4 linked regions of the Astyanax mexicanus genome follow. Each later gene encodes a partner of the first gene's protein in a complex. Links are inferred from orthologs where the notes say so. Each region holds a gene or a part of one and is shown on either strand. Other genes may lie near its edges. The genes, in order: cacna1c, cacnb3a, cacnb1 and cacnb2a.

Region 1 (8,232 bases):
TCTAGCTGTAACAGCAATTTTACTCTAATTCATTTTGTTATTTTTTCTTCTTTTCTATATATTGTTTTAATCTAGTTGAATCTTCATTATGTATGCTTTATTTATGCTTTATTCTTATTCTTATTTTATATTTATTTCCATTTAATTGTTATTCTCTTACATGTTTATTTTGACTCTCTGTGTATTTTCTCGTTTGTAAAGCACTTTGAATGACCGTTGTGTATGAAAGGTGCTGTATAAACACCCCTTTCCTTATGGTCCAGTCACTCCAGTCATACAGTCTAATATACTAGCCAAAGAAATATCATATTTCAGTAGAAGATGCCTCATTAATCTTATTTTAAAGACATGTACAGTTTGAGAACTTTGTAAATCTATATGAAAATGTCATTCCTTATCTGCACACCTTTACAAACTGTAAATTAGAGTAATAGATCAACAGTTTTGCATCAGAGAGAACACTAGCTGCTTCTAAAGGGAAAATACTCATATAATACTTGTATTAAAAAGTACTTTTAGACTAACTGTTTGTTCTGTGGTTCAGACGTGGTTATTGGAGGAATACAGAGGAGCTCCAAGGCTAACAAAAGAGAATAAAATCTATAAGAAGAGTGGAGAATGTAATTTATGTTGCTTTTATATATAATTAGGTACCACTTTAAAATATGGTTAGTAATTGGTTTATAAAGGAGTTTATTAATGGTCATTAATTCGGCTATGAACCATTAACAAGCAGATACAACACCAAATGATCTTACTTATTGTCTTTTCCATCAGTCATCATTAACATTTCTGTAAATAACTTTATTCATTTAGCTATAATAACATATTAAAGGACTGAACTGACTTTCTATTGTATTTTTTTATTACATGTTAAAAACGTTATTGTCACTGTTGTTCTTTCTATTTATGTGCTTATCAATTATTTTTTTAAGTATTTAAAACGTTACAAACATTAATTAAATTCTTTCTAAACTATTTATAAACCCTTTATGAAGGAGCTTTATTTTAAAGTGGAACCTATAACTGTTAGTTGTGTGTTTTGTTTAAAAGTGTGTGTGTGTGTGTGTGTACAGTGTGTGTGTGATGGTTATAGGATGTTTATAGGTGGTGGGGGGTTTATCTCTGGGGGGGTCAGATGGTCTCTGTGGTACTCTGTGATTATATACAGGATTTCTGCTGCAGTTTAATGAGTGGTGCCTGATTTAGGCCTCTGTTGGTATTTTAGTTTATTTTTTTATTTTTCCACTGAAATAAAATCTATAATTAGATTTTCCAGTGGTGGTGATAATGGTACGATGTTCGGGTTTCAGTCGGTTCATGAGAACAGCTTTTCTGCTGCTGATTATCTCTATAAAAATAATTCTATTGTTTAGTTTTTTGGTAAACTTTGTTGCTGGTTTCACTGCAATCTGAATAAGTGAGGATGGTGGATGGATCGAACTGAATGATTTCAGGTGGAATAAACTCTATACATGTTCTAATATAAAAAGTTATATCAAGAATTGCTATTATTATTACCAAACAGGATAAACGAAAGAATTAATTATTATACAAAAAAGTATAGTGGTATGAAAAATAATACTATAAAATCTAGCAAATAAATTAAATTTCCTGAAATAATTAATAGTTTTTCTTATTTCCACTGCATTAGAATCATAAGTGTAATATTTAAAATTTAAAATTAAGCTTTTTATTTCATAAACCATCTTAAAACTATAAAAAAAAAACATGATTAAAAGTGGTCCAAATCACTTAAATCATTAAATTAGCAAAAATAAAAAAATAAAAATGTGCTGTTACTTTGCCTCAATATCTCTAGTATTACCATTTTACCAGTGTTTTTGCAGTGGGCGGGGCCAAGTTACTGTTTTATTGGTTTATAAACTTATTTATTGGCTGGTTCATGATCTATTCATTTAAAATTTAAAACATTTAAAAATAAAGAAAATACATGATGTCCACTCTAATGGATGTACAGGGTCTGAAAGGGTTAATATTAAATAAAATAAAAAGGCAAAACACTAATTAAATATAATTAAATATAAAGGAGACATAAGATTGTGCATCACTTTAAATGGTGCTGTTTTTAGCAAAAACTAATACCAAAAACTGAAGTTGTTATATAAGAAATAAAAATCTAAATCGTATATTTGAAGAATATTGAGATAATTATTTGTCTTTTTATAATATCGCCCAGTCCTTACTACAGTCACGGACAAAAAAACAGGACAATAGGTACAGTTTTAAAACCCTGTGCTGTAGATTTTACAAGTTTCCCCCGTACCACTGTTAAATTGCTTTATTTAAACAGTTTTAAATAAACACCGCTCTGCTAAAAGCTCTTAAAGAAACAGACAATTTATGGTGATTTTAGTACAGCGGCACAGTGATAAAAATGAAATAATAATAAAGAATTGACCACAGTTGTAACCCAATCTATTTTAGTTTCACTAAACTAAATCAGGACGTCTCTAAAAACAGTAATTTTATTTATTAGAAACACTTACCTTTTCATCAGTTCAGCGATGCGCTGGCAGTCCTCCTTATCATAGAACCAGATCCCATAGATGGACACTGTAGGAAGAGATATCATACAACATTTTAAGCAATGATTTGAGTAAATAGGTAAATTAGAAATAAAGAAAATATCAATATTTTGATATCTTAAATCTTATGATACAATACTAGTGATAGGGGCATAGAGTTACCCATACAAAGAAATCACAATTTTTACACCATTAACAAACTCAAAGTAGCCTAAAAATTAATTCTTAGGAATGAGTTTCAGTAACCATTAAACCAAACTGAACTGCTTGAATTTTTACACCAGGAGTAAAGCAGCATAAAGTTATCCAAAAGCAGTGTGTAAGACTGGTGGAGGAGAACATGATGCCAAGATGCATGAAATTAAAACTGTGATTAAAAACCACCAGGATTATTCCACCAAATATTGATTTCTGACTCTTAAAACTTTATGAATATGAACTTTTTTTCTTTGCATTTATGACAATATTTTTATTTGGAATTTGGGAGAAATGTTGTCTGTAGTTTATAGAATAAAACAACAATGGTCTTTTTTTTCTCAAACATAAACCTATAAATAGCAAAATCAGAGAAACTGATTCAGAAACTTGCAAGAAATGCAAAGAAAACAAGTTCATATTCATAAAGTTTTAAGTGTTCAGAAATCAATATTTGGTGGAATATTCCTGGTGGTTTTTAATCAGTTTATTTCATGCATCTTGGCATAATGTTCTCCTCCACCAGTCTTACACACTGCTTTTGGATAACTTTATGCTGCTTTACTCCTGGTGCAAAAAATCAAGCAGTTCAGTTTGGTGGTTTGATGGTTTGTGATCATCCATCTTCCTCTTGATTATATTCCAGAGGTTTTTTAATTTGGTAAAATCAAAGAAACTCATAGTTTTTAAGTTACAACAAGTAAATGGCTCCCATTGGATGGAATGGCTCAATAGCAATATTAGCTTGGGTGCTGTTGGTTGGCTGCTGTCGGTTGGGTGCTGTCGGCTGGGTGCTGTCGGCTGGGTGCTGTCGGCTGGGTGCTGTCGGCTGGGTGCTGTCGGCTGGGTGCTGGTGGTTGGGGTGCTGGTGGTTGGGGTGCTGGTGGTTGGGGTGCTGGTGGTTGGGGTGCTGGTGGTTGGGAGCTGTTGGTTGGGTGCTGTTGGGTTGTTTGGGTGCTGTTGGGTTGGTTGGGTGCTGTTGGGTTGGTTGGGTGCTGTTGGGTTGGTTGGGTGCTGTTGGGTTGGTTGGGTGCTGTTGGGTTGTTTGGGTGCTGTTGTTTGGGTGCTGTTGGGTTGGTTGGGTGCTGTTGGGTTAGTTGGGTGCTGTTGGTTGGGTGCTGTTGGTTGGGTGCTGTTGGTTGGGTGCTGTTGGTTGGGTGCTGTTGGTTGGGTGCAGTGTTTCAGGAACACATGCTGTGGTCCTGACAGTTTGAGAAGGACCACTTCCCCTCACCTCCACTAATCTACAGCCCGAGCGAGATACCAGAACCCAAATTGGGACGGAGGAGATAACAGAGATAACTCCACCGCTCCGCCTGTTAAGTGGGGGGAGGTGGAGGAAAAAAGAAAGATGTAAAAAAGAAAGAACAAACTCTTCACTGCTGCAGCGTCTCCACCACTCTCCGAGAGCTCTGCTGAGCTTTAAGTAGAGTCACTGCCTGGGTCAGCGCTTGGGAACGAACCCAAACAAACGACTGATCCCTGGGAAAGAGGGAATATTATTCACATAGCTGGGTGAGAGAGAGAGAACGAGGGAAGAGCCAGAGAGAGAGAGAGAGAGCAACAGAGAGAGAGAGAGACTCACTGTAGGACAAGGTGCCATAAAAAGCGAAGTTGGTGGAGTGCAAGAGGACAAAGAGGAGGAGGCGTACGAAAGTACGTACGGAAGCACTATTAGAGTTCTTCTTCTTCTTTTTTCTTTATCTTTATCTTCTTCTTCACGTGGAAAAACAACATCAGCAGCAGCAGCAACTACATCTCTTCTCGAACTCCATCTCCATGAAACGAGTGCAGAACGAGGGAAAGAAGAAGCCAGACACAACTTAAGACCCCAGGAAACACATGGGCGCATTTTTCTCGAAAATCTCGCCGCGTCTTCTTCGCCGCTTCTTTTCTCCATCGCTCGAGCTTCAGCAGCTTTAAGGACGTACGTATCTGAGGGATAACTGAGGGATAACTGAGGGATAACTGAGGAACAATGCTACGCAGGCTTTTCCAGAGGAAGCTGAAGCACCAGCGCTTGCAGGAGGAGCCAGAGGTGCGCTTCAAAGGGAAACTCATCTCCGAGAAAGAGCTGGGATATACCTACGTAAAGCCAGGAGGTAAGAAACCGAACTCGAGACGCCTGCCTGCACTCAGGCATTATTAACCCGAGCGATGGTGTTTGTATTAAGAGCAGAGGACATTCTCCAGCTCTGCATTTCTGGCGTGACTGTGTAGGTGATGGATGAGCCGTTTGCTACCGAAGTTGAACGGCAGCCCAACAACAGTAGAGAATCCAAGATATCCTGCTGTGTAAAGCGTGCAAAAAGTTTCAGGGGTGGGCGATACGTCCCTAAAATTACGATATTCACAATATTTTATTGTATTTTCGCAATAATGAAACGAAACTTCTGACTTTTGTTATAAATCTGAAAAAAACTCTTGTATTGTTTAAATATCTCTATTGATATTTATGACAGAAAACCCCTCCTGTTACTGAAACTCACTCCTGTTACTTTTTATATTTTGAATAACAACAGGACTGAGTTTTTTTAGCATAGAATTAGCAAAAACATGAAAAACAGCTAAATATCGGCTATGCTAACAGCATGAGGACACTGCTACCAAAGTTGAAGATATCCTGCTGTGTAAAGCGTGCAAAAAGTTTCAGGGATGAGTGATACTAAAATAACGATATTCGCGATAACGAAACAAAACATGGTGATATGACAAAACACTGAATTAAAAAAATATTTTACTATTGTATGTGATATGAAATGGCACACCCTTAACTGAGATATTTAAAAATAAAAAATAATAATAATTATAAGAATGAAATAAAGAAATCAGTATAATGGTGATATTGTATATCCATTCTAAAAATCACCAATCAGCTAAATATTAAAATATATATATATACATATCATGTATCTTCATTCAGCTAAAAAATATTGATACATATATACATATATAATTTTTTTTGCTGAATTGCGATATACAATATTTATATATCAATATTTTTTAGTTGAATGAAGAGTTTTTACAATACAGCTGAAAAAAAATTAGATAAATAAATATCGTATATGACCATTTAGCTAAAAAAAAAAAAATCAAAATATATATATGGTATATCACCAGTCAGCTAAAATTAGTTTTGAGCCATATCATCAAGCCCTAGATAAAATACAGTTTTACTGACTGTTTCCTGTGATCATTTTACAAATATTCACCTATAAAACAGCTTTTTCTCAATGACATCACCTTTTCTCACAGTGAGCTCCACCTACCCGCCGTACTTTACAGTGTGTGTGTGTGTGTGTGTGTGTGTGTGTGTGACTCAGAGCAGGGTTTTGTTATCTTATCGGAGCTCTGTGATTGGGTGAGCTAATGCTGGCAGTGTTCTCTCAGCTCTGCCGCTCACATTCCTCCACACCATAAAAGGAGCTGTGGCTCCGGGTTCCTCTCCCTCAGCCCTGTCCCACTGCCAGCTCTCCCTCTCCCCCAGCACCTCCATCACCTACACCACCTCCACCTACCATCATACAGCACCTCCATCACCTACACCACCTCCACCCACCACCTACATCACCTCCACCCACCACCATACATCTCCTCCACCCATCATCATATATCTCCTCCACCCACGTCATACATCTCCTCCACCCATCATCATACATCTCTTCCATCTCCTCCACCCACCATCATACATCTCCTCCACCCATCATCATACATCTCCTCCATCACCTACACCACCTCCACCTACCATCATACAGCACCTCCATCACCTACACCACCTCCACCTACCACCATACAGCACCTCCATCACCTACACCACCTCCACCCACCACCTACATCACCTCCACCCACCACCATACATCTCCTCCACCCATCATCATACATCTCCTCCATCACCTACACCACCTCCACCTACCATCATACAGCACCTCCATCACCTACACCACCTCCACCTACCACCATACAGCACCTCCATCACCTCCACCACCTCCACCCACCACCTACATCACCTCCACCACCTCCACCCACCACCTACATCACCTCCACCCACCACCATACATCTCCTCCACCCATCATCATATATCTCCTCCACCCACGTCATACATCTCCTCCACCCATCATCATACATCTCTTCCATCTCCTCCACCCACCATCATACATCTCCTCCACCCATCATCATACATCTCCTCCATCACCTACACCACCTCCACCTACCATCATACAGCACCTCCATCACCTACACCACCTCCACCTACCACCATACAGCACCTCCATCACCTACACCTCCTCCACCCACCACCTACATCACCTCCACCCACCACCATACATCTCCTCCACCCATCATCATATATCTCTTCCATCTCCTCCACCCACGTCATACATCTCCTCCACCCATCATCATACATCTCTTCCATCTCCTCCACCCACCATCATACATCTCCTCCACCCATCATCATACATCTCCTCCATCTCCTCCACCCACCATCATACATCTCCTCCATCACCTCCACCCACCATCATACATCTCCTCCATCACCTCCACCCACCATCACACATCTCCTCCACCCATCATCATACATCTCCTCCATCTCCTCCACCCACCATCATACATCTCCTCCATCACCTCCACCCACCATCATACATCTCCTCCATCACCTCCACCCACCATCACACATCTCCTCCACCCACCATCATACATCTCCTCCATCACCTCCACCCACCATCATACATCTCCTCCATCACCTCCACCCACCATCATACATCTCCTCCATCACCTCCACCCACCATCACACATCTCCTCCACCCACCATCATACATCTCCTCCATCACCTCCACTCACCATCATACATCTCCTCCACCCATCATCATACATCTCCTCCACCCATCATCATATATCTCCTCCACCCACGTCATACATCTCCTCCACCATCATACATCTCCTCCATCCACCATCATACATCTCCTCCACCCATCCTCATACATCTCCTCCATCACCTCCACCCACCATCACACATCTCCTCCACCCATCATCATACATCTCCTCCACCCACCATCATACATCTCCTCCATCACCTCCACCCACCATCATACATCTCCTCCACCCACCATCATACAGCTCCTCCATCACCATCATACATCTCCTCCATCACCTCCACCCACCATCACACATCTCCTCCACCCACCATCATACATCTCCTCCATCACCTCCACTCACCATCATACATCTCCTCCACCCATCATCATACATCTCCTCCACCCATCATCATATATCTCCTCCACCCACGTCATACATCTCCTCCACCATCATCATACATCTCCTCCATCCACCATCATACATCTCCTCCACCCATCATCATACATCTCCTCCATCTCCTCCACCCACCATCATACATCTCCTCCATCACCTCCACCCACCATCATACATCTCCTCCATCTCCTCCACCCACCATCATACATCTCCTCCATCTCCTCCACCCACCATCATACATCT
Region 2 (8,182 bases), on another chromosome or scaffold:
GTTTATTTCAGAGCTGTATCAGCTTATATCTGTTCACAGGCCTGCACTGCATGTGAGCTCATGTTGTAAGCGGTGTGTGTTTCTGTAAGACAGTCGAGTGTTTTAACATCATAAGCTATTTTAGAAGCTTGTCTGAAGCGTTACAGGTAAAAATAGCTCATTTTGACGTTTGAAGTTATAAATAAAGAAATCAGAATCAGAACCAATACTGGTATGTTCAGTCTGGTAATATCAGAATCTGAGAAGAAAATGTGTCAGCATGTTGGGCTGCATGATACTGCAAAAACTGAAAGTGAGATATTTAGTTAAATATTGTGATCGATTAATGCTGGACAATATGGCCAAAACTTAAATCACAATATCTTTTTTTATTTCATTCAATACAATATAATTCCATTATTGACACGATATAAACTGATATGAGTAATGATTTGCATTATAATGGGTAGGTTTGCCACAATAGCTAATATATTGCCCCAGAGCAAATGGTGATAAATAATATTACTGTCACTTTAAGAGCATTTTATGCCCCTGGTATAATGATTAAATCATGGTATAAGAATACAATTACACTCTTTTGAAAAGAAATTAGCTTTTATACAACCAGAACAGTGGATGTGTGAAAGCTAATGTCAACACTGCCCTCTAGTGTTCAGGATTTAAAACTCAACACAAAATGAATCTGAGTCTGATAAGTTTATGCCACTCCTGATGCAAAAATTCAAGCAGTTGAGCTTGGTTTGATGGCTTCTGATTATCCATCTTCCTCTTGATTATATTCCAGAATTTTTCAATTTGGTCAAATTAAAGAAACTCATCATTAATTTTATGCGGTCTCTTATTTTTCTCCAGAGCTGTATATAATTTTTTGATGGTGATGATGAGATAGATGATGGTGAAAGTACTTCTGGTTTCTGCTTAATATTATGAATACCATCCTTCTCAATTTTATCCTAACATCCTCCCCATATCACAGGGGTACAGCAGATGAACAGATGGCGCTTACCTGGCGCTTAATGAAGCTGGACGTGGTGTCAGAGGAGGTGCTGCCATCCGAGCGTTTAAAGCGGCTTTTGCGTTTTGGCAACTTTCTCGGCAACTACATAAAAAAATACAAATTACATCTCAGAAAATGGGAAACATCTTCACAAAAACATGTGTTTTTCAAAATTTGGTAATTTGTACAAGATTTGAGGCCTAAAACCCTAAATGCAGGTGAAATAGGCCTATAACAAATATGAAGACTGGAACAGTAAAATTTATGAAGGCACAGTACATGTCTTAACAATAGCCACTGACAATATATTTTTATATATACATTTTTATATATCATATATAATATATATATATTTTTATATATTATATATATATGTATTTTGTTTGTCAGTAAACTGCTGGTTGAATTTGTATAAGACGGTGAAATAAAGTTTTTATGCTGCTATTACAATTATTTCACAAATTGTGCCATCCCTTCGAAAACCATTTTTTTTCCCACACAAACCACCTGTGCACCTGGGAATTAAATCTCACACCAACGTAACCTGTCTGGTATTACTATAATTCATCATTCTTTCTGTTTGCACCAAAAAGTCACTTTTAGTAGGACAGTAGTAAACTTTAGCTATATATATATTTTTTATAGCAAGCAGCTCCCTTCAACCTTACAAGCAGTTTTTACTGTATATTTAACACAGTGCCAGCATAACCTTATATTTCAGTTAAGGAAAAGTGCAAAATATGAAAATCACTGCAACATAAAAGAGTTTTTTTTGACAAAAACACAAGCCTATCTAATAAGATCCACCTGGCAGCATATCTATATGCAATTCTTTTTTGAAAATCACATTAAAATAGTCATTTGGATCAACAGAATTAATTAAATAAAGCCATTTCCTAGCATCTCACGTTTCACAGATGAATCCTACAAAACAGTTTTCTAATAACCTGCTTTAATAAATTAATGTAAACAGTCAGGGTTTAACCCCTGTGGGTCTGGCTTAACTAAAACCTAGAAACCTCATTTATTATGAGACATTCACATGCCTGATCTTGGTCCTGGTGCCTTGTTGCCCTGCTTTTACACACCACTGCTGCTTTAAAAAGGCTTATAAAAGATCTGGGGCGGTTTTCCCAAAAGGTTGAGCAAGCTTTACACTGAGCTCTTTCTCTTTCTGTTAAAATGTTTTTAATGCTAAGATGCTTTTGGGAAACTGGGCCCAGACTGGTTGAATCAGGTGTGTTGGGATCAGGGACAGTGATGAATATGTGCAGGGCAAGGAGGCACTGGGACCAGGGTGGAGGAACACTGGTTTAGGTCGAGCTTCACAGGAGGAACCTGCAGATAAAGCCTCCCTGCAGCCAAACTTCAGCCTGTGTGTTTACTGGGAGCGGTGGAGCCTCCTGCTGACTGGTGTGGATGGTGTAGAAGGAGGGTGCTGCTGCTGCTGATGATGATGCTTACAGGTGAAGAACTTTAAGTGATAAACGAGGTGAAGATGGATGGAGCTGTTTTTTCTTCTGAAAGAGGACAATTGTGAAGTGTTTTTTCGTGTATAAACACAAACACACACTCTCGTACCTACACACACACAGATAAGCTACACAAGCTAGTCAGCTAATTCCCAGCACAGCAGTGATGGAGGCCTCAGAGCTGCGGAGGAAATCTCAGCCCTTAGCTAAAGTGAGCTTCACCGGGTTAAACCGGGCTATAGGGCCGCTTCTCCTATCCCTGCGCCCGTAAAGGGCCGCGGTGCGGTAACGGCGGGTCTGGCAGCGTCTGCACGCCGCGGCTGTGGATCCAGCCCCCGGTAGGAGACGCTGCTGCTGCCCCGGAGCTCCAGCCCCAGCCAACCCAGAGCTGGAGAGACCCTCCCCGCGGCGGTAGTACAAGCGAGCGGCCCCGGCTACACCTACCTGAAAATAGTGGGACTGGGAGCCGGTCTCGGTACCGGGCAGCGGGTCTGCGGCCGATTTGGACATTTTCACTTGGACCATGTATCTGCGCGCGCAGGGCGGCGGGCGAGGGGCTGAGCGGAGGAGGCGGAGGGAGCGCGCACATTCGGGGGGAGCGGAGCGAGCATCCGCCCGCAGGAGCAGCGCTGGAGCCGGGAGAGAGCGGGTCTGATCCGCCGCGGAACCATTAAAAACCCGGAGCCCGGGGAGCACAGAGACCCAGCGCCGAGAGAGAGAGAGCCGAGCGATAGATCCGCATCCTCTCTCTCTCTTTACACCTCTCTATCTCTACCACTCTCTCTATCTCTACCTCTCTCACTCTACCACTCACTCTCTCTCTTTCTCCATCTCTCTCTACCTCTCTTACTCACTCTCTCTTTCTCTATCTCTCTCTACCTCTCTTACTCACTCTCTCTCTACTATCTCTCTACCTCACTCTCCCTACCACTCTATTTCTCACTCTCTCTTTACCAGTCTCTCTCCCTACTTTTACCACTGTCTCTATCTCTACCGCTCTCGCACTCTCTCTCTCTTACTTTTCTTTGTTTTAGAACTTAAAATGTGTGTGTGTGTTTTTTTTAGATATTTCGTATAATAAAGAATATTCCAGTTCCTTTCTAATACAACATCATGAACAATAAGTATTATAATAAATAAAAGATTAAAATGAAGAGAAAACACATCATCACCCCAAATTATATCCCCATCCAGTCCAGTGATTCAAACTGGAAGCAAATTCAGGTATATTTTACAGTTTTTCTGGATTGTTTACACACAATTTCTGGTACTTGAGACACTATGACCACAACATGTAACTTACACACCTACTGCTTGAACCAGTTCTGCTAAACTACAAGCACAATTCCTGATTTACACTCAAATTGCAGTTATAAAAAACACACTTTTTCAAAACACATACACAATTTTCTGCATTTGGCACAATTTTCCTGAATAAAATCTCTTGTTTTCACAAGGAACACACTGTTATTCAAAACTTTAAAGTTAATTACCCTACTATGCACACTGACTGGTCACATGGGCAAACACCCTTCACACAGGTTTACAATCAGCAACTTAAGCTTTAGCAGACCGAAACAGAAGACAGGATGCAGCATAGTTTTACATTATACAATAAATTCTTCTGTTGTTTTGTATGTAAACCACTGCATCTTTGTGGTGGTTGCATGGTACACTGTGTACATTGTTTTGGTTGGAAAAATAAAATGTATTTTTACTGTATATTTCTGTGTTCTGAGTATAAAAACGATATTATTAAATATTTTACAACGCACTTATGTATTTACTGTCTGTAGTAAGTGTAAAACTGAACAAAAAGTCATTATGATAAATGGAGAATAGTGTTTTACACTGAGAACATCAGTGTTCAACTGCTTTTTTAGCTTGTCTTTTTATATGATGGTGTGTGTGTGTGTGTGTCATCTGAACACAAAATACCCTTTTGTAAAGAGATAACACTTTTGAATGTAAAGTTTTATTTTGCAGGAGAACTGAAGGGTTTTGCCCATTGTGTGCGTGTTTGTTGGATTTGTGTGTAGAGTTCTGTGAATATGAGGCATGTTTTCAGAAAATGTGTGTAAACAATTCAGAAAAACTGTAATGGAATGGTTATTGGTTCTTTTAATCCTAATCGAATTGCGAGGCTTTGTTTTAATCTTGTTTCATAGCACCATCTGGTGTCCTCAAGACTGTATTACTAGAAATCCATACTGTTTTATTTTAAAGGGACTGAAAACACTTTCTAAAATATTACACTGAATATCTTCATACTTACCTGAGATAAATTTAGTCCTGTCATGCTAAAATTTCACATAGATGAAAACGATCAAAGGAAATTAAAACATATCTTTGAAACAAAACAAGGTCATAAATAACAGTTCAACAACTGCAACCTAAGCGATAGGTTTACTACAATTGTCCACCCTGTCGTGCAGGTTGCCATAACATGGTGAATGTATGCATGACAGGAAAATAAAAAGGCCAAAAGGCACAGTATTCTGATAATGAGCAGCTGAGGGACAAGTGACTACATCAGGATAATCTCTGAAGAATAGCTCCTTCCGTCCAAACGGAATCTCAGACCAGGGAGACAGCTTACCTTTCAACATCACAACAGCCTAAAGCACAACACGTACAACACTGAAGCAGCTTCAGGATAAGACTGTGTATATCCTTCAGTGATGCTGCCCCAGCCTAGACATAAACCACAATCGCACTTCTGCTATAGTCTGAAAACATTTGGGTTTAACATTAAAAGATGTACATAAGACAAAAGATAAAAAAAATAGATTTTTTTCCCCCAGATATTTCCATCTGGATCTGATATCTGACAGTTCAGAAGATAGCCCTTTTTTTAATGAATTTAGTTGTAATTCTTTGTTTGCAGTTACATCACTAACCATGTGCATTCTTCTTTCATTGTAGCAAGTTTAGGTGGGTTAGTTTTGGGGAGGTTTCTCCCTTTAGTCTTCTCTTTAGCAAGAAAAATGCATGATCTAAAGGGTTAAGTCTTGAGATTGACCCGGCCAGTCTAAAACCTTTTACTTATGACTTCCGGTATGGCGCCGACACTAGCAGCAGCTTAAGTTTCAGGCTCCCAGACGGTCTTACTCCCCCTTCAACAAATACTGAGGATTCAAGTAGATTTTTTTTTCTTTTTATGCCATGAAAGGGGGGCACAAGAGAAAGACAAGAGGAAATTTGGATCAAAACCCCAAAACGGACGACAAACCCTCGAATGTAAGTGAAAACGCCAGCGACGACGCTAGCAATCTCACCGAGTATCAAGCTATGGAAGCTATCCAAGCTAACATCATTACTGAGATAAAGGAGATCCGTTCGGACGTGAAAAAAGAACTCGGCGAAACTGTGCTTATGTTGAAAAAGGAACTGGTGGGCTTTAGAGAAGAAGTCAATCAGAAGCTGAACTCTATCAGATCTGACCTGAAAGAAATAACTGGTAGAGTCGAGGAGACGGAGCAGCGAGTAGCCGAAATGGAGGAGTGGAGCACCGAAGCTAAGCAGGTGCTCTCCCACACTTTGGAGCTCCAGGAGAGCATTCAAGCTCAGCTAACAGACCTAGAGGCGCGCTCACGCAGAAATAATATACGCATACATGGGATTGTGGAGGGAGCCGAGGGAGAGAATATGGAGGTATTTCTGGAAAAGTTTATCACAACAGAGTTGTCCCTCCCCGACGCTACCCTCGGTATACAGCGCTCCCACCGGTCTCTCGGACCCAAACCACCGCAAGGCTCTAACCCGAGGTCTATAGTGGTCTGTTTCCAGGAGTATAAAACCAAAGAGCTGGTGCTCCGCTCCGCTTGGAAAAAGAAGGAGATACACCATAGTGGCAGAAGGGTGTTTTTTGAGCAAGACTACCCGTCTGAAATACTGGGAAAAAGAAAAGCCTTTTCCACAATCAGGAAAGCGCTTAAAGAAAGGGGGCTCCGTTTCCAGACCATTTACCCAGCGAAACTCCGGGTCTTTTTGGACACCGGACCAATTGTTTACAACAGCGCTGCGGAGGCGAGAGAGGATCTGAAGAAAAGAGGAATAGACTCTCTTGAAGCTGAGGTCACTGAACGAGGCGCACACTCGTTGAGAATGAAAGATCTCTCATGGGAACCAGCGGGAGGAACATCACGCAGGCAACGCGAGGCTCGATTTAGGCATATTCAGGAGAAGCTGAAGGGATTCCGCCACCATGCCGATACTACACGAGAGCCCGCAAACATTTAAAGAACTGGATAGCTTCCCATAACATCTGGTAAAAGCACTTATTTAGTAACTTGAACACTTTGGACACTGAAATATAAAACTTACGTGAGAATTTCCTGTTATAAGCCCAAACTTTGAAACTGACCGTATGTCTGGTGATTGATGTTTGCGTTTTATGTGCACTGTTCTGATGCCGAACGGCCAGAAATACCAGATCGCACAGGGAAGGGCCCCTCTAGGTCGTAGGGCTTCCCTTCCTAATTCAGAAGTTGAGTTCATACTTCAGAAATGGAAGTCACTTTTGTTGAACTTGTGTATTAGTCAGTTAAGTTTCCTTTTATGTTTCAGGCAGATTCATTGTTCAAAGCATCTAGTGATATTTAAATACTGTGGTAAAGAGTTTTTCATTCTTTGACAAGGGAAATGCATCATCAAAAATATAAAATAATTACTCTTAATGTGAACGGGTTACATAATCCTATCAAACGAAGTAAGGCAATATCTAAAATGAAAAAAGAAAAACATGATATAATTTTTTGGCAGGAGACACATCTTTCGAATATTGAACATGAGAAGTTGCGAAAAATGGGATTTAAAAACCTATATTATTCTTCTTTTGAAAAGAAAAACACAAGAGGGGTAGCTATACTTATCCCAAACAGAATTAATTTCCAGTTTTCATCACAGATTATCGATAAAGAGGGACGTTACATAATGGTGAAGGGACTTCTTGATCACAAAGAAATTACATTGCTGAATGTATACAGACCACCAGGTAGCGATAAAAAACTGATTAAGAAGATTTTTAATATGATATTGTTAGAAACATCAGGGGTGCTGATATGTGGTGGGGACTGGAATATTCATTTACACCCCTCCTTAGACTCCTCAAGTAGAATAAAGACTATAAACCCTGATGCAAAATACATTAATAAATTACTTAAAGAATCGGGTTTGGTAGATATGTGGAGGGATCTTCATCCACTTGATAAACATTTCACTTTCTTTTCCCATGCGCATTCCGTTTATACAAGGATTGATTATTTTTTCATGTTTAACTCAGACAGACATAGGATTCTGAACTGTGAAATAGGGATAAGAGACATCTCTGACCATGCAGGTGTATATTTAACATTACATTTGGACAATATGCCCAAGGAGACTGCATGGAGGCTTAACACCAGTGTTCTGAATGACCCTCAGTGTGTAAAATATATAAAGAAAGAATTTGAAGACTACATGATTAATAACAATAATGAAACAGTAAGCCCCAGCATATTGTGGGATGCTGCAAAAGCTGTAATTAGAGGTAAACTTATAATGTGGACAGCTCAAAAACAGAAGGAAAGAGGAAAAGAAATTAGAGATTTAACCGAAACATTAAAACACCTGGAAAGTAAACACATGATACATAATGAAGCTAGTGTTTTAGATCAGATTCGAAATACAAAGCAACATTTAAATGAATTGTATGAAAATAAAATAGAGCAGA
Region 3 (7,894 bases), on another chromosome or scaffold:
AGAAGTATTTGATCCCTTGCTGATTTTCTTCGTTGGCCCACTAATAAAGACATGATCATTCTATACTTTTAATGGTAGATGTATTCTTACATGGAGAGACAGAATATTAAAAAGAAAATCCAGAAAATAAATCTAAGGAATATATATTAATTGATTTGTATTTCATGGAGTGAAATAAGTATTTGATCCCTTAGTATTCATTAGCAGTTCTGGCTTTTACAGACCAGTTAGACACTCCCAATCAACTTGTTACCTGACCTGAAGCCACCTGTTCTCACTAATCACTTGTGTGAAAAACACCTGTCCACAGAATCAGACAGATCACACAGATTTCAAGTCTCCAACATGGGTAAAACCAAAGAGCTGTCACAGGACCTCAGAGTCAGAATCGTTGACCTTCACAAAGCTGGAATGGGCTACAAAAAGATTAGTAAGGTGTTGGATGTGAAAGTAACAACTATTGGTGCAATTATCAGAAAGTTTAAAGAGTATAACATGACAATCAACAGACCTCGGCCCGGTGCTCCAAAGAAGATTTCGCCTCGTGGGGTGGCAATGATGCTGAGAACGGTCAGAAATCGTCCTGCAACCACTCGGCAGGAGTTAGCAAATGACCTGAAGGCAGCTGGGACCACAGTTTGCAAGGAAACAATTGGCAACACTTTGCGCAACAATGGATTCACATCCTGCAGTGCCCGAAAGGTACCCCTGCTGAAGAGAGCACATGTGGAGGCGCGCCTCAAGTATGCCAATGATCATTTGAAAGATGAACCAAGTTATTGGGAGAAGGTTTTGTGGTCAGACGAGACCAAAATTGAACTTTTTGGCCTCAACTCCACCCGCCATGTGTGGAGGAAGAAAAATGCTACCTATGACCCCAAGAACACTGTGCCCACCGTCAAGCATGGAGGTGGAAGCATAATGTTTTGGGGGTGTTTCTCTGCCAAGGGTACAGGGCTACTTCACCGCATCACTGGGAAGATGGATGGAGCCATGTACCGCAAAATCCTGAGGGACAACCTCCTCCCCTCTGCCAGGGATCTGAAAATGGGCCGTGGTTGGGTCTTCCAACATGATAACGACCCTAAACATACAGCAAAGGATTGGCTCAAGAAAAATCACATTAAGGTCATGGAGTGGCCCAGCCAGTCGCCAGACCTCAATCCGATCGAAAATCTATGGAGGGAGCTGAAGGTCAGAGTTGCCAAGCGACAGCCCACCAACCTTCATGATTTAGAGAGGATCTGCAAAGAAGAGTGGGCCAAAATTCCCCCTGGTGTGTGTGCTAAACTTGTGGTTAACTACAACAAACGTCTCACCGCTGTGCTTGCAAACAAAGGCTTTGCCACTAAGTATTGAGTGTGTTTGGCAAGAGGGATCAAATACTTATTTTCCTCATTGAAATACAAATTAATTAAAATTATATTCTTTAAAATTATATTCTGGATTTTTGTCTTGATATTCTGTCTCTCCATGTTAGAATATATCTACCATTAAAAGTGCAGAAGGATAGTGTCTTTATTAGTGGGCAAACAAAGAAAATCAGCAAGGGATCAAATACTTCTTGGACTCACTGTATATATATATATATATATATATATATATATATACAGGTGCTGGTCAACGAATTAGAATAATTTGAAATAGTGCAATCATGAAATTCTTTGAATGCATTTTTTGTGCAGAAAGCAAATCAGGTGTTCACCGCACCTGTCCTACTCGTTAGACTAATCACAGAACTCGTTACCTGGAAAAAAATTTGCTCAGCTGAGCTTTCCAAAAGGCCCATTTAGGCCATTTAACTGTGACACTGTTGTTTTATTGAATTAGAATAATGGAGAAACCGTTTCATTGAATTAGAATAATTTTTATTATAATTACAATCATCACTTTCTCAGTATTTTGTGGCTGCCCCCTTGGCTTGTATGACTGCCTGAAGTCTCCGCGGCATCGATTTGACCAGCTTGTCGCAAGTTTCCGCACTCACAGCTTCCCAGGCAGTGGCGATGTTCTGCTTCAGTTGGTCCAGCGTAGTAGGCTTTCTGTCGCGAATTTTCCGCTTGACGATGGCCCAAAGGTCTTCAATGACATTGAGGTCAGGCGAGTTGGCCGGCCATGCCAAAACTTCAAGCTGTTTTTAAGTGAACCAATCTTTGGTCGACTTTGCCGCATGAGCGGTGCAAGATCCTGTTGAAATATGAAGTCTTCTTCGCCGAACTGTTCCTCAACAGTCGGAATCAGGAACGTTTCCAGAACATCTTGATATACGGCAGCATTGACCGTCTTCTTGAGGAAGCAGAGTTTCCCTACACCTCGAGCGGACATGCATCCCCAGACCATAACGCTCTGGGAAAACTTGATGGATCTTTTCACGCACTCGTGGTTGTAGGTTTCGCCACCACGACGCCAGACACGAGGACCTTGGTCACCGAAGGAGATGCAGAAGCGTGATTCGTCACTGAAGACCACTTTCTGCCAGTCTTCAGCAGTCCACTCGCCGTGTTCTTTGGCCCACTTCAGCCGTTTCTCCATTTGTTTCTTGTTCAGCATCGGTTTTACTGCTGGAACGCGAGATTTGAAGCCGAGTTCGCGCAGACGACGGTAAGTGGTTGATCTGGAGACGTCAGCGCCGGTCTGCTTGTTCCACAAGTCGGTGAGCTCGGAAGTGGACTTGAACCGGTTGCTGACTGCGATCTTTCTCAGCTGCTTGTTGTCGCGAGCAGAAGTTTTTCGGACGCCGGAACAGTTGGTGCGCTTGCTGCAGTTTTTCTTGAGAGCTTTGCAGACGGAAGACTGGCTGATGCCGAGCTGCTCAGCAATTTTAGTTTGGGTCAAGCCTTGTTGGCGAAGGGCTTGAATTTGAGCCACTATTCCGGTTGAGAGGTCGCGCTGCTTACCCATGATTGATTTTACAACTTAGAAATTCTACTCAACCCTGACTTTATACTGCACAGTGAACACTCTTCACAGAAAACAAAAATTCGAGCATTTATTCTAATTCAATGAAACGGTTTCTCCATTATTCTAATTCAATAAAACAACAGTGTCACAGTTAAATGGCCTAAATGGGCCTTTTGGAAAGCTCAGCTGAGCAAATTTTTTTCCAGGTAACGAGTTCTGTGATTAGTCTAACGAGTAGGACAGGTGCGGTGAACACCTGATTTGCTTTCTGCACAAAAAATGCATTCAAAGAATTTCATGATTGCACTATTTCAAATTATTCTAATTCGTTGACCAGCACCTGTATATATATATATATATATATATATATATATATATATATATATATATATATATGAATATATAAGCAAATTATACTAACAGATGCAAATATATACAGTAAACAGCAACGAGAATTTCTCATTTTTAGGTAAGTAGGTTGTGTCCTGAGCCAATCTGTAGAACAAAGTGTAGTTCCACATTTCTCCTGGATGCCAGCATGTGTAAATGTTCAGTTCTGTTAGCAGCTTACCTGATTTATCATCAGTATGTTTTGATTCGCCAAACCAGGTGTTGATATGATGAGAACTAGAAACAACACTACTAAACTTGAATGAGGGGAGATTAGGAGATGTTGTAAGGAAAACAGTGATGTTAAAGCTTTTTGCTGTTGATTCAAGTTATCATCTGGCTTTGATTAATTTAAGTTGAATAAACATGTACATGTACAACTTAACTAAGTCAAATCAAAAGGATGACTAAGTTAAGTTGTATAGACTTAAAATTGTATATATTTACAACTTAACTGAGTCAAATCAAAATGATAACTTGACTGAGATACATTCAATAAACTTAAAATTCTATATATTTACAACTTAACTGAGTCAAATTAAAATTAAAACTTGACTCAGTTAAGGTGAATATACTTCACATTGTATATATTTTCAATTTAACTGAGTCTAATCAAAATGAAAACTTGACTCCATTAAGTTGAATAAACTTCAAATTATCTATATTTACAATTTAACTGAGTCAAATCAAAATGAAAACCTGACTAAAATAAGTTAAACAGACTTTAAATTGTATAAATATATTGAACCAATAAAAACAATTCAGTGTCCCTAAAGCTGCAGCGCGTGAGTTACAGCGCAGGAGCCGTTCAGTTGTATTAAGAAGAAATAATAAGAGGAACAAGCCCCGCCCCTTCGCCGGGCTGATTGATTGATGTGTGAAGAAGGGCGGGGCGTGGTCTCTCCGCTTTAACAGCTGGGAGGCTGGAGCTCCAGTGGAGAAGCAACACGGTGGAGCGTACGGTGCGACCAGATGAACATGTTCTGACAATGAACGCAGAGAAAACCGGAGAAAACAGCCAGAGAAAATACCCAGCGCGCTGTAAATGAAACACCAGACCACGGCTTAGCAGTAGAAATCAATGGTACAGAAAGGCATGTCCAGGACGCCTTCCACCTCCACACAGGAAATCCAGATGGACATGTTCGACCACCACGGATCCCACTCGCAGGTAAGAGAGAGAGAGAGGAGAGAAAAACGGGATGCACACCTGCTGCTGATCTGCTGATGCTGTGGATGCTTTGCTTTGCTTTAAAAAGGAATGTAGTGTGTGTGTGGGTTAGTTTTCTGCTGTGTAGATCAGTCCTATACGTTAGCTTAAGTTCTTACTCGCCTTATCTGCTGTGTTTTATCATGAGAAAATAATATAAATTTAAAAAACTCACAACAAAGAACCCAGCAGTTAGCTAAAGCTACTTTAGCATTGACAGCATTTATATCAGTGAATATACTGTACATATAACATGTTATATATGATTTGTTAAAGAGCTCATTTGCTCAAGACTCCATCTAAACTAGGTTAGCTTAACCTCCCCCCTTCAGAAAATGTCTTATTCACGCTTCAATTGGAAATATATAAGCTAATATAAGGCTGAAACCAACCTGTACTGCTTTCACAAGGCTCTCTGTGTGTGTTTGAATTATCGGACAGGTGAATATTAAGCACTTTTAGTGTAGTAATAAATAAGCGCTCAGTGGGTCTTGTTCCAGTGTGTGATGTTCCATAGCATATATAAAACATGATGTCATTTTGCTGCTACTGCTGCTTGATACATTATGACCACGCCCACGTGTAAACACACAAACATACGTACACACTCAAACACACAAAGTGTTGTTGGTATATACAGCTCTATACAAAAAATAAGAGACCACTTTAGTTTCTGAATCCGTTTCTCTGATTTTGCTATTTATAGGTATATGTTTGAGTAAAATGAACTTGTGATGAGTGTTGTTTTATTCTATAAACTACAGACAACATTTCTCCCAAATTCCAAATAAAAATATTGTAATTTAGAGCATTTATTTGCGGAAAATTAGAAATGGCTAAAATAACAAAAAAGATGCAGAGCTTTCAGAAATCAAATGATTAAGAAAGAAACAAAACAAGTTCATATTGTAAAGTTTTAATACTTCAATTAATAAATCAATATTTGGTGTAATAACCCTGGTTTTTAATCACAGTTTATATGCATCTTGGAATGTTCTCCTCCACCAGTCTTACACACTGCTTTTGGATAACTTTATGCCACTCCTGGTGCAAAGATTCAAGCAGTTCAGCTTAGTTTGATTGCTTAATTTGGTGTCCAAATGTGGTAAAATCAAAGAAACTCATAATATTTAAGTGATCTCTTCTTTTTTCCCCAGAGCTATATGTGTGTACACACACATAAACACTCACTCACTCACACTTAGGCTACTTGTCATATAACCTACCTTTAAGAAAAATGCTCTTCTAATTGTTCCCTTTTAATGAGTTTCATTTGAAAGAAGATTTGTTACATTGGTTTAACAAACTTAAATCAAAGGTTATTTACTAATTAATATCTTCTTTAAACAAATCACAGCTCATTTTTGAGTATGAAACTTTATCCAAAAATGAATGGTTCTTAGGGGTATGCCTTGTATATCGTATGATACACAATATTTCGTGACAGAATAATATTGAGATTTTGAAAAAAGCCATTTCTTAACAATAGCAATATCTTGAAAATATCATGATATTATTTTAGGGCCATATCGCCCACTCCTAATATTTATTCTATGCTGTGGCATTGCTCAAAGAATAATGTGTAGCACCTTTATTATTAAATATGTAATACTAAGTAGAGATCTTCTTTATTTTACGTCTTCGCTATATTCTTTAGGCCCATTTAGTCCAAACTATGTTTCCAACACAGATGCACATAGCCTTGTCACAATAACGATGTGTAGATGATATATTGCCCCAGAAATAATTGTGATAAATTATATTATTGTCATTTTATTACCAAAATAGTTTAATAAAAAATGCTAGCAAGTTAAAATATTGTTTCTCAAAAATGGATTTACAGGAACCTGTTGAACTTTTAATGGAAGTTATTATAAAAATGTTACTACATACTATTTAGTCTGTGATCTCATTACATGGTTTTTGTCCTTTCTTGCTTTTAAATGTCTCACATCTTCACAATTTGCCCTAGTCTGTACAATTAATAAATTACGACTAATCAGCAAAAATAGTCACTTCACATTTCACTGTTTGTTTATAAAGATTGTCACTAAAGTGTGGATATTTATATACATCATACCCCACTTTTTAGCTGCCAGCAGTTTATCCCTACCTTTTCACCCTGAAGTTATAAGAAGTGTTTCAGCCTGGGCTGTATTTAGAAATAAATAAAGCACAGTGTGGCCAATCAGAACAGTCAAAAAAGTTTCTTATTGAGTTATGAGAAGTCTAGTTGCTAAGTTGCTGCCAATATGATCCTAGGAACACCAGTTTGAAGCAGCCAGAGTCAGAGAGAACTAAAATGGGCATGCTCTCTCTCTGTGAGTTCTGTCTTTCCTCCATCACTCCTAACTAAATGTTGGTCCACACTGGCTACTGTTGACTGATGTATCAAGAGCTGGGTCACTGTGCTTTCCTCTGATCATCCTGGCTACTCAGTAATGCTAAATCAGTGGCAGTTTGAAAGGAGGCAGTGGCTGCTTTCACATGTATCGGGTGAGGCATGTACAAGTCTTCACCCTCTTTGTGTTAGGGGTATTGCAAGTGATGGGTGATGGGGGAGGACTAAGAAGTAGGTCTTCCATATTGGAAAGAAAATGCTCAAATGATCATACAAAACCTCACAAAAATGAAACAGACAAATTCAGAATTTGGGCCCTTTAATTGCTTCAAGTTATTAGTCATTAAGAAACACTATATTTTGCTTTTAGAGTAGGGAAAAAACACTGAAATTTGCAGGGCATGGCATCCTAAGGAATAACTACGAGAAGCTCTGTTGAAGTACATTTATTTGAGGGAAATTCTGCTTGAATCCTGGCGTGGGTGACAGCGTGTCTCTGATTGAAAGCAGAACATTCACCATTCAGAGCTGAACAGAAGTGGACCTGCTGTCATGTACTCTCGTTGTAACCTTTTCCGGTCGTATTTCTCTTCTGCTTTCCTCTGCTCTTTTTTTTTTTTTTACACCTATTCACCATTCCTTTAGATCCAGGTCTGTTTAGGTGATACCTGTTATATGATACAATAATCATCAAAAAAATTGTTGCACCCAGAAGGAATCAACCAACAGGAATGGAACTTTGTGTGTAGTCATGCCAGGCTGTTATGGATTAACTGCAGAGAATGGTAGCGAGCATCAGTTTGTAGAGGCACCATGGTCAGTGCCAAGATCAACAGTTTTTCTTTTTGCATCACACATGCAAAAAACAGTTTGATATAATGTCAGATCACCTCTGGTCTTTATTACTGGTATTCAAACAGCAGTATTACCTTTTCTGATCATACGTTCCAGTGCGCTTTTCCAACAGGACAATGCTCGTCTACATACTGCTGTCTTTACGAGAGTTCTCCTTGAAGACACAGATACTATACCATGGCCAGCTGCATTGCCAG
Region 4 (8,688 bases), on another chromosome or scaffold:
CTTGTGGTTCTGCAGCGAGGGGTATCTCCTGGTTTGAGCAAGATGAAGCAGGATCAGACCGTTTTTTTCTGGCCTATTTAAGGACAGTCCCTGCTGCCCATGCCCCCTCCATGCCCTGCCCCACTAGACAGCTTCGCTACTATTACTTTAATACAGAGCAAAATAGACAATTTTCGAAAACTTTATACATAGATTTTTTAAAATATTATAATTAAAAAAAAACATTTTACATACCTATATTCCAATTATGGTCTGTACCTTACAATGTGATCACATTACCTATTATAATTTATTTACTATTGCAGCAATACATAATGGCAGACTGGCATCAATGTCAGGCATTAATTAACAGGGAGGAATAATTAGTTGTAAACAGAAACTGCAGTATGTTTTTGTTCAGTATTAATATTTATAAACTTACATTAACAAATTGTCAACACTTCTAAACTACTTCATGAAGATCAGTGTCTAAATAGTTCCATGTGGTTTAACATTTTCTTTATTAGTGTTTGATGCCCACAGGAATAATTTTATTTATTTTGACAAACCAGTGGATATATTTTTCTTTGTGTGAATGGAAAATAACATGGCCTATGTCCCTAGCTTTGCCAGGCAACTTTGTATATATTATAACAGAGAGAATAGTTCTAAATGTTCAATAATAACATTGTTAGTATGAAAAGTTATAGAGACAGAAAATACTTACAAACATATTTATTTACAATTCAGTAATTAATTTTAAATCAATAATTGAAACAAACTATTCTTTTGACACGGCATCAGAATTAATACATTTTTTACTAGTTTAGGATGACATAACATATTTGCAAAAAATAACTAAATTTGCCTACAGCAATTTCTTGCAGCATATAGCATGGATCTGGTGTGTCAGCGTAACCATCATGTTGGAGGTGGCAACCTGCGCCACCAGTGCATTAATTTACACTGAGACAGGTGAATGATACACCAATAATAATCACAAGTCAATCACAATGGTATGGTTTATTACAAACAGCAGAGATGTAGTAATGATTCAGGATGCTGTCACACATTACAAATACCTGCTTTCATGCTGAAATACTATGTATTATGCTCTTTAACAAAGGCAGACATATGGTGTAGCATATTAATAAGTGTATAAATTAATTAATTTTTATATTAATATGTACATACATACACATATATACATAAATATACACAACAGACAACAAGACTCAGTAGTAGATGGTATATAATTCTTTAATTTAAACATTACAGTCGCTGTTGATGACATATTATTTTTATTTTAGCTTTTGTAGAAGTGTCAACATAAGCATTTACTCAATAAAAATGTAAAAGTACTGGTTTACCACAGGAGCCTATAGTGCACTACCCCCACCCATAACACCTTTAGTTAAAGTTCAAACTAACAATCAGAACATAGAGAAAATGTGATTCTGAGTGTGGCGTGATTGTTGGTACATTCTGGCCCCAGATATAATCTAATCGGCCCCCTGAAGTGCCCTTGTTACTCATCTGTCCTTTGCTCAAGAATGAACATCAGAATTTAACCATCATGGTTAAAGCTTATGTTGGAGAGATGTTATTAGATGTTAAACTGACAGTATTTGAATAAATGAATAAAATACAGGATTTTCTGTCTTTAAGATTATTTTACTCTATATACAGCAAAAAATAAAGTAAGATTGTTGTTTGTCTGATTTTAGAAATAATGATTTATAATTTCTAAGTCAGTAATTTAGCAGTGATGTGAGCACAACACTGCTACCAGAGGTTCTGATTACACACTAAGAAAAGTAAGTACGGATTTGTACTTAAAAGAGTACAAAGCTTGTCGCTGGGGCTGTACCTTATATTGAGGTACAAAAAAGTACCTTTCAGTGAAAGTCCTTTTTTGTACCCATGGTTTTTGTGCCAATAAAGATGATAAAGATTATAAACATTATCATCAACTAAATATGGCTCAAAAATTTGATGATCCAAATTTTTCTGGCTTTCAAATGAAAAATGTGCAATTAAAATATTTATTGTTAATTAGTACAGTGATACAGAATACTGAATGTACCTTTTGTCTGGTTAAATGGTACAAATTTGTACTTATTGGTGTTAGAAATTACTTTGTTCTTCAGCGGGAACAAATCTGACCCTGTAAAGACCAATATGGTACCATTGAGGGTACAATTATGAAGAGTGTACCTTTGAGTACAAAAAAGTACTCATATCGTACCTCTGTTGTGTAAGGTGACCTTCAACCTTTCAGGATGGTGGTAAAACAACAAAGAATCAGTGCTGGATGGAATACTGTGTATAAAGCGTTAACAGTGTTAACAGTGGAGGTGCTGCTGTTGGTTGTTTGTGCACATTTTTTAAACTTGTAATCTATATTCATTCTACTTAGAACAATGCTTTTTGTTGTTCTATCATAGCAAAATGACTACTTTGCTAGTGCAGGTGAAAGCCTCAGCCATTTCTCATGCCTCTCAAACAACACAGCACTTCAGCGTGATGTGCTGATCACATGAAATAAATGTTTTGATACTGTGGACTGTTTTTGAGTAGTTTTAAATGTGTATTTTGTTTTTATTGTGAAAATTACTACTGTGCTGTAGTTCCCACACCAACCAGCAGAGAGAGCTATGCTGACAAATGGGCTGTACATTTACTGGGGCTTCTGCTGCAGCCTCTCATTACCCTGTTAAATCTTTAACTCTATTAGTGAATATTCTGGTGTATATATTAATATTCCTGAGAAACATATATGGTATTAAACTTACTCTTTCAATTAAATAAGTCTGGGTTTGTTCATTATATATATTATTTATTATATTTTAATAAATACACAAACAGTTTAATTATTCAGAACAAATGTCATGCATACATGTCTCATATTACCAAATAACAACAGTGTCTGTTTTATATTATACATTTTTATATTATATATATGAATTCAGTGAGTACTTTATTGGATATACAGCTCTGTAAAAGAGACCAGTTTCTGAATCACTTTCTCTGATTTTGCTATTTATAGGTATATGTTTGAGTAAAATTAACATTGATGTTTTATTCTATAAACTACAGACAACATTTCTCCCAAACTCCAAATGAAAATATTGTAATTTAGAGCATTTATTTGCAGAAAATGAGAAATGACTGAAAAAACAAAACAGATGCAGAGCTTTCAGACCTCAAATAATGCAAAGAAAACAAGTTCATATTCATAAAGTTTTAAGAGTTCAGAAATCAATATTTGGTGGAATAACCCTGTTTTTTAATCACAGTTTTTATGCATCTTGGCATGTTCTCCTCCACCACTCCTTCACACTGCTTTTGGATAACTTTATGCCACTCCGAGTGCACAAATTCAAGCAGTTCAGCTCAGTTTGATGGTTGTGATCATTCATTGTCCTCTTGATTATATTCCAGAGGTTTTTAATTTGGTAAAATAAAAAAACTCATCATTTTAAGCAATCTCTTATTTTTTCCAGAGCTGTGTCTCCAAATCAGCTCATTTATCTAATTATTGCATCAGCCATTTGTGTGTCAGCAGATATAGCCTGGCAGTTTTAGTTAAAGGTAAAACTAACAATAAGAAGAGAAAATGTGATTCTGAGTGTGGCGTGATTGTTGGTACGTAATGGCCCAGATTGAAATCTAATTGGCCCCCTGAAGTGCCCTTTTTACTCATCTGTCCTAAACATCAGATTATAGGTTGATGCAATTTCATGTCCAAACGCCAATTAAGAATGTCCAGCATGATTACATCTTATTTAGGAGAGATGTTATTAGATGTTGAACTGACATTTTATAAAAAAGTAAAACATTTTTTAAAAATGAATAAAATGCAGGATTTATTGTGTTTGAGATTATTTTACTCTATATACAGCAAAAAATCATGTAACATTGGTAATTTTGTGCCAAAAGTTTAAACATATATAAAATATCAAATCAAAATTACAGATTATACATACATAAGCATAAAATAGATTCCAGAAGCAAAGTCTAAATAAAATACACAAAAACACATAAATAAAAGCAAAGACTGACAAAGTCCATATGCAAATAATAATGAAAAACAAAATTGGCACAAAATTAACTTTTAAATTACATTTTTGTTTGAACATGGTGAGACTGGTTAAATAATACCTGGCTCCTCTATTATTACTGTGGCCCTTGTGGCCCTTACTTAAAACAAATCCTACATCTGCCACTGCCTGGGAGTATCAGCATTGGTAGAAACTGATGGGAGAAAAAAAGTCAAGGAAACAGTCTTCAGTCAAAGATACATGCAAAAAAAGGTAAAACAGACTCAAGTGATGGCACTTTTAAGGCACTTTTACCCTAACCTAATCCTTTGAATACTTTTTCATGTCAACTCTGAACTTCTAACTCTCTTAACATCAGCCCCCATATTTCTTAAATGCTCTTAATGCAAATGTATTGCAAATGTATTGGAATGTCAAGTCAAGTCAATTTTCACAAAGATTTGAATGTTGTTGTTTTTTTTTGTATTTGCCAAATGAATTTTTAAAAAGATTTGGATCATTTAAAAAAAACAAAAAGTTTTTCAAGTCTGTTTTTTTAAAAGATTCAAATCATTTTTTAAAGTATTTCAAGTCTATTTTAAAACGTCCCAGCTCGCACACAACCGACCTTTAACGTTGAACTGTAGTTGAAATATGACTGAAACAATGTACTGTGTTGTTTCAACGTTGAAACAACGTTGAATAAACATTTAATGTTCAATGGTTGTGCTAACGTTGAAATTTTAACATTGAATCAACATAATGTCCTCAACCTTCTGCCTTTTGAATCAGCATTTTAAATTTCATCACCATATCATTTCTACAAACGGTTGGATGGAGAAATGAAAAAGTGTTTTACTTCTATTTGCACGAACTGCTTTTTAATTTAACATAATCATCTTGTTTTAATAGTTTTACTGTTTTAGTGTTTTTGAGATCAGATGTTAAATCAGATTGGCATGAGTAACTTTCTTTATACTCAGCTTTACTACAGTGGTGTAAGTTTATTGTTAACACTTTGTAAACCATAGGATTTTCTAGTTTTAGTGAGCTATGGTTTATTAAATGTTGAATGTATGACATTAAAACAACGTTGCTATATCAACGTTGATTCACTTTTCAAAATCAACGTTGATTCAACCATAACATCTACGTTGATTAACGTTGGTTCAACGTTTATTCAACGTTGAAATGCCAAGTCAATTTTCAAAATTATTCAAATATATATTTTTAATTGGTCATGTCAGTTTTCAAAAAGATTAAACTTCGTACATAAAAAAAACTGATCATTTTTTTTAAGTTTTTTTTTTTTTTTTTAGAATCTTTTAAACCTGAAGGTTAGGGGCTTCGTTAGTCTCAGCTAATGTAATAAGACGCTTATGATGGTCTTTATAACTCCGCCCCTTCACAGATTCACAGACTCTAAACTCCACGCGTTTCTAAACTCGGCTCTGCTGTGCGCGTGAGCGGAATGGAGAGGCGGGGGAGTCCACGCGCGGCGCTTCGGACCCTCATAAGCGGCAGCGCGCGCTCCTGTCTCTCTCCACAGCGCGTGCTCCTCTCAAAGCCGCTCGGTTATGCTGGCTGAGCTGAAGCCGGGGGGCGGGTTCAGTCTGAGAGTCTGCTTGTAAACTTTTCCACACTCTTCTCTCACCGGCGGACTGAGAGATAACTACAGAACCGGCCTTTAAACCTGCCTTCAGCCGCCCTGTCTGACCGCTCCTCTCCACACTCTGTCCAATGGTTTTAACCAGCATGCCCAAAACACCCTCAAACTCGGTGGAGAAACATCTGGACGGAGTGGAGAACCCCGCGGTGCAGGTAGGGAGGGCTCCAGAGTCTTTATCAGTTCAGAACTGACTGAGAAGAGGAAACCAGTTTAGACCGGTGATGAGTGTGGCAGTGAGGTGTGGGGCAGTAATATGTATGGTGGCAGTGAGGTGTGATTGTGAGATGTGTGGTAGTGAGGAGTGTGGTGATAATGAGGTGTGTGGTAGTGATAGGTCTGGTGGTAGTGATGAGTAATAGTAAGGTTTGGCGTAGTGAGGTGTATGGTAGTGATGATTGTGGAGGTAGTGAGATGTGTGGTAATGAGGTGTGTGGTAGTGATGATTGTGGTGGTAGTGAGGTGTGTGGTAGTGATGATTGTAGTGGTAGTGAGGTGTGTGGTAGTGAGGTTTGGGGTAGTAAGGTGTGTGGTGGTAGTGAGATGTGTGGTAATGAGGTGTGTGGTAGTGATGATTGTCGTGGTAGTGATGAGTCTGGTGGTAATGATGAGTAGTATTAAGGTATGGGGTAGTAAGGTGTGTGGTAGTGAGGTGGTGGGTAGTGGGACGTGTGGCAATGAGGTGTGTGGTAGTGATGATCGTAGTGGTAGTGAGGTGTGTGGTAGTGAGGTTTGGGGTAGTACGGTGTGTGGTGGTAGTGAGATGTGTGGTAATGTTGATTACCAGTGTGTGGTAGTGATGATTGTGGTGGTAGTGATGAGTCTGGTGGTAATGATTAGTATTGAGGTGTGTGGTAGTGAGGTGTGTGGTGGTAGTGGGATGTGTGGCAATGGGGTGTGTGGTAGTGATGATTGAAGTGGTAGTGAGGTTTGGGGTAGTAAGGTGTGTGGTGGTAGTGAGATGTGTGGTAATGAGGTGTGTGGTAGTAATGAGTGTGGGGGTAGTAAGGTGTGTGGTGGTAGTGAGATGTGTGGTAATGATGAGTAGTAGTAAGGTTTGGGGTAGTGAGGTGTGATTGTGAGATGTGTGGTAGTGAGGAGTGTGGTGATAATGAGGTGTGTGGTAGTCTGGTGGTAGTGATGAGTAATAGTAAGGTTTGGCGTAGTGAGGTGTGTGGTAGTGATGATTGTGGAGGTAGTGAGATGTGTGGTAATGAGGTGTGTGGTAGTGATGATTGTGGTGGTAGTGAGGTGTGTGGTAGTGATGATTGTGGAGGTAGTGGGATGTGTGGCAATGAGGTGTGTGGTAGTGATGATTGTAGTGGTAGTGAGGTGTGTGGTAGTGATGATTGTGGTGGTAGTGATGAGTCTGGTGGTAATGATGAGTAGTATTAAGGTATGGGGTAGTAAGGTGTGTGGTAATGAGGTGGTGGTAGTGGGACGTGTGGCAATGAGGTGTGTGGTAGTGATGATCGTAGTGGTAGTGAGGTGGGTAGTACGGTGTGTGGTGGTAGTGAGATGTGTGGTAAAATAGGGCAATAAGGGCTAAAATGTTTATCCTTTGTCTCATATTTGTGTCATCTTTTAATGTCAAACCCAAATGTTTTTTTAGTGTACAGCAGAAACATATCTATATGTTTGTCTAATCGTCTCTCGGCCTATATATCAATCTGTGCCAGTGAAAGTCAAAGAAGCTATTGTAAGAACAGAAAATAAAAATAAAACCATGAGAGAACAAACTTGGGGTTACCTATCCGTAAATTTTGGGATTACTAAAATCAAATGTCTTGAATCTTATTTGGGAGAAATAAACTGTCAATTGGCTGTCTGTTAATGTATATTTAGGAGGTAGGTGTGTATCTGCAAAAGACTTCAAAAAACAGAAAATACAGAGGGCAGTATGTCCAGATGTCTGTGAAACATGGTGGTGGGAGTGGCATGGTTTGGGCATGTATGGCTGCGTGCCACAGTAATACACTAATGGAACAGCATAATGATATCTGAGATGTATAGGATGAACAAGATGTCAAACAAGCAAAAGCTGAAAATATATGTTCTAGAGCAGGGGTGTCCAAACGGCCCGTGGGGCATTTGCGGCCCGTTTCCTTTTTTGGAGCGGCCCGCGAGGTATTTTAGAAATAGAATGAAAGTTGGCCCGCTGTTAAGCAGGTTTTTATAATGTGAGATTCAACGTTTGAACGCTAGGTGTCATAAAAAGTCTAAAAGCGGAGAGGGTGCGCATTTCTAGCGCAGAACAACGGGGCAAAAGAGTCTAAATGCAGACAGAGTGCGCATTTCTAGCGCAGAAACACGGGGCAAAAGAGTCTAAAAGCGGAGAGAGTGCGTATTTCTAGCGCAGAAAAACGTGCCAAAGAGTATATAAGCGTAGGCGGGGCAAAAGAGTCTAAAAGCGGAGAGAGTGCGCATTTGTAGCTCAGAAAAATGGGCCAAAGAGTCTAAAAGCGGAGAGGGTGCGCATTTCTAGCGCAGACAACCCGGCCAAAGAGTCTAAAAGCGGATAGAGTGCGCATTTGTAGCTCAGAAAAATGGGCCAAAGAGTCTAAAAGCGGAGAGGGTGCGCATTTCTAGCGCAGACAACCCGGCCAAAGAGTCTAAAAGCGGATAGAGTGCGCATTTCTAGCGCAGACAAATGGGCCAAAGAGTCTAAAAGCAGAGAGGGTGCGCATTTCTAGCGCAGACAAACGGGCCCAAGCGTCTAAAAGCGGAGAGAGTGCGCATTTCTAGCGCAGAAAAACGGGCCAAAGAGTCTAAAAGCGGAGAGAGTGCGCATTTCTAGCGCAGAAAAACGGGCCAAAGAGTCTAAAAGCGGAGAGGGTGCGCATTTCTAGCGCAGAAAAATAGGCCAAAGAGTCTAAAAGTTGCCGTAATTAAGGAGTTTAATATTAAGAGACATCATGAAATTAAACATCAATTTGAAAAATCTTAGTTTACACAACACTGTCAAAGATAATGATAGTAAGTCAAGTAAAATGGCGTGTA

The links.
Region 2: cacna1c (region 1) and cacnb3a share a complex: the UniProt entries of both Homo sapiens proteins name them as parts of the calcium channel complex. The link is inferred for Astyanax mexicanus from reciprocal best matches to the Homo sapiens genes CACNA1C and CACNB3.
Region 3: cacna1c (region 1) and cacnb1 share a complex: the UniProt entries of both Homo sapiens proteins name them as parts of the calcium channel complex. The link is inferred for Astyanax mexicanus from reciprocal best matches to the Homo sapiens genes CACNA1C and CACNB1.
Region 4: cacna1c (region 1) and cacnb2a share a complex: the UniProt entries of both Homo sapiens proteins name them as parts of the calcium channel complex. The link is inferred for Astyanax mexicanus from reciprocal best matches to the Homo sapiens genes CACNA1C and CACNB2.

The regions. Positions count from the first base shown.
Region 1 is NC_064409.1:1,370,205-1,378,436, forward strand, and holds the start of cacna1c (voltage-dependent L-type calcium channel subunit alpha-1C), read left to right. Parts: upstream 1-4,653; 5' UTR 4,654-4,722; coding exon 4,723-4,846; exon of another isoform or gene 4,847-6,520; intron 6,521-6,543; exon of another isoform or gene 6,544-6,688; intron 6,689-6,760; exon of another isoform or gene 6,761-6,993; intron 6,994-7,034; exon of another isoform or gene 7,035-7,571; intron 7,572-7,891; exon of another isoform or gene 7,892-8,232. Other genes in the region: dcp1b (mRNA-decapping enzyme 1B), read right to left, coding at 2,511-2,577. UniProt on the Homo sapiens protein: Pore-forming, alpha-1C subunit of the voltage-gated calcium channel that gives rise to L-type calcium currents. Mediates influx of calcium ions into the cytoplasm, and thereby triggers calcium release from the sarcoplasm.
Region 2 is NC_064420.1:16,644,808-16,652,989, reverse strand, and holds the start of cacnb3a (voltage-dependent L-type calcium channel subunit beta-3a), read right to left. Parts: upstream 3,562-8,182; 5' UTR 2,995-3,561; coding exon 2,914-2,994; intron 1,100-2,913; coding exon 1,007-1,099; intron 1-1,006. UniProt on the Homo sapiens protein: Regulatory subunit of the voltage-gated calcium channel that gives rise to L-type calcium currents. Increases CACNA1B peak calcium current and shifts the voltage dependencies of channel activation and inactivation.
Region 3 is NC_064426.1:27,356,543-27,364,436, forward strand, and holds the start of cacnb1 (voltage-dependent L-type calcium channel subunit beta-1), read left to right. Parts: upstream 1-4,202; 5' UTR 4,203-4,372; coding exon 4,373-4,462; intron 4,463-7,894. UniProt on the Homo sapiens protein: Regulatory subunit of L-type calcium channels. Regulates the activity of L-type calcium channels that contain CACNA1A as pore-forming subunit.
Region 4 is NC_064415.1:32,755,815-32,764,502, forward strand, and holds the start of cacnb2a (voltage-dependent L-type calcium channel subunit beta-1), read left to right. Parts: upstream 1-5,538; 5' UTR 5,539-5,762; coding exon 5,763-5,843; intron 5,844-8,688. UniProt on the Homo sapiens protein: Beta subunit of voltage-dependent calcium channels which contributes to the function of the calcium channel by increasing peak calcium current. Plays a role in shifting voltage dependencies of activation and inactivation of the channel.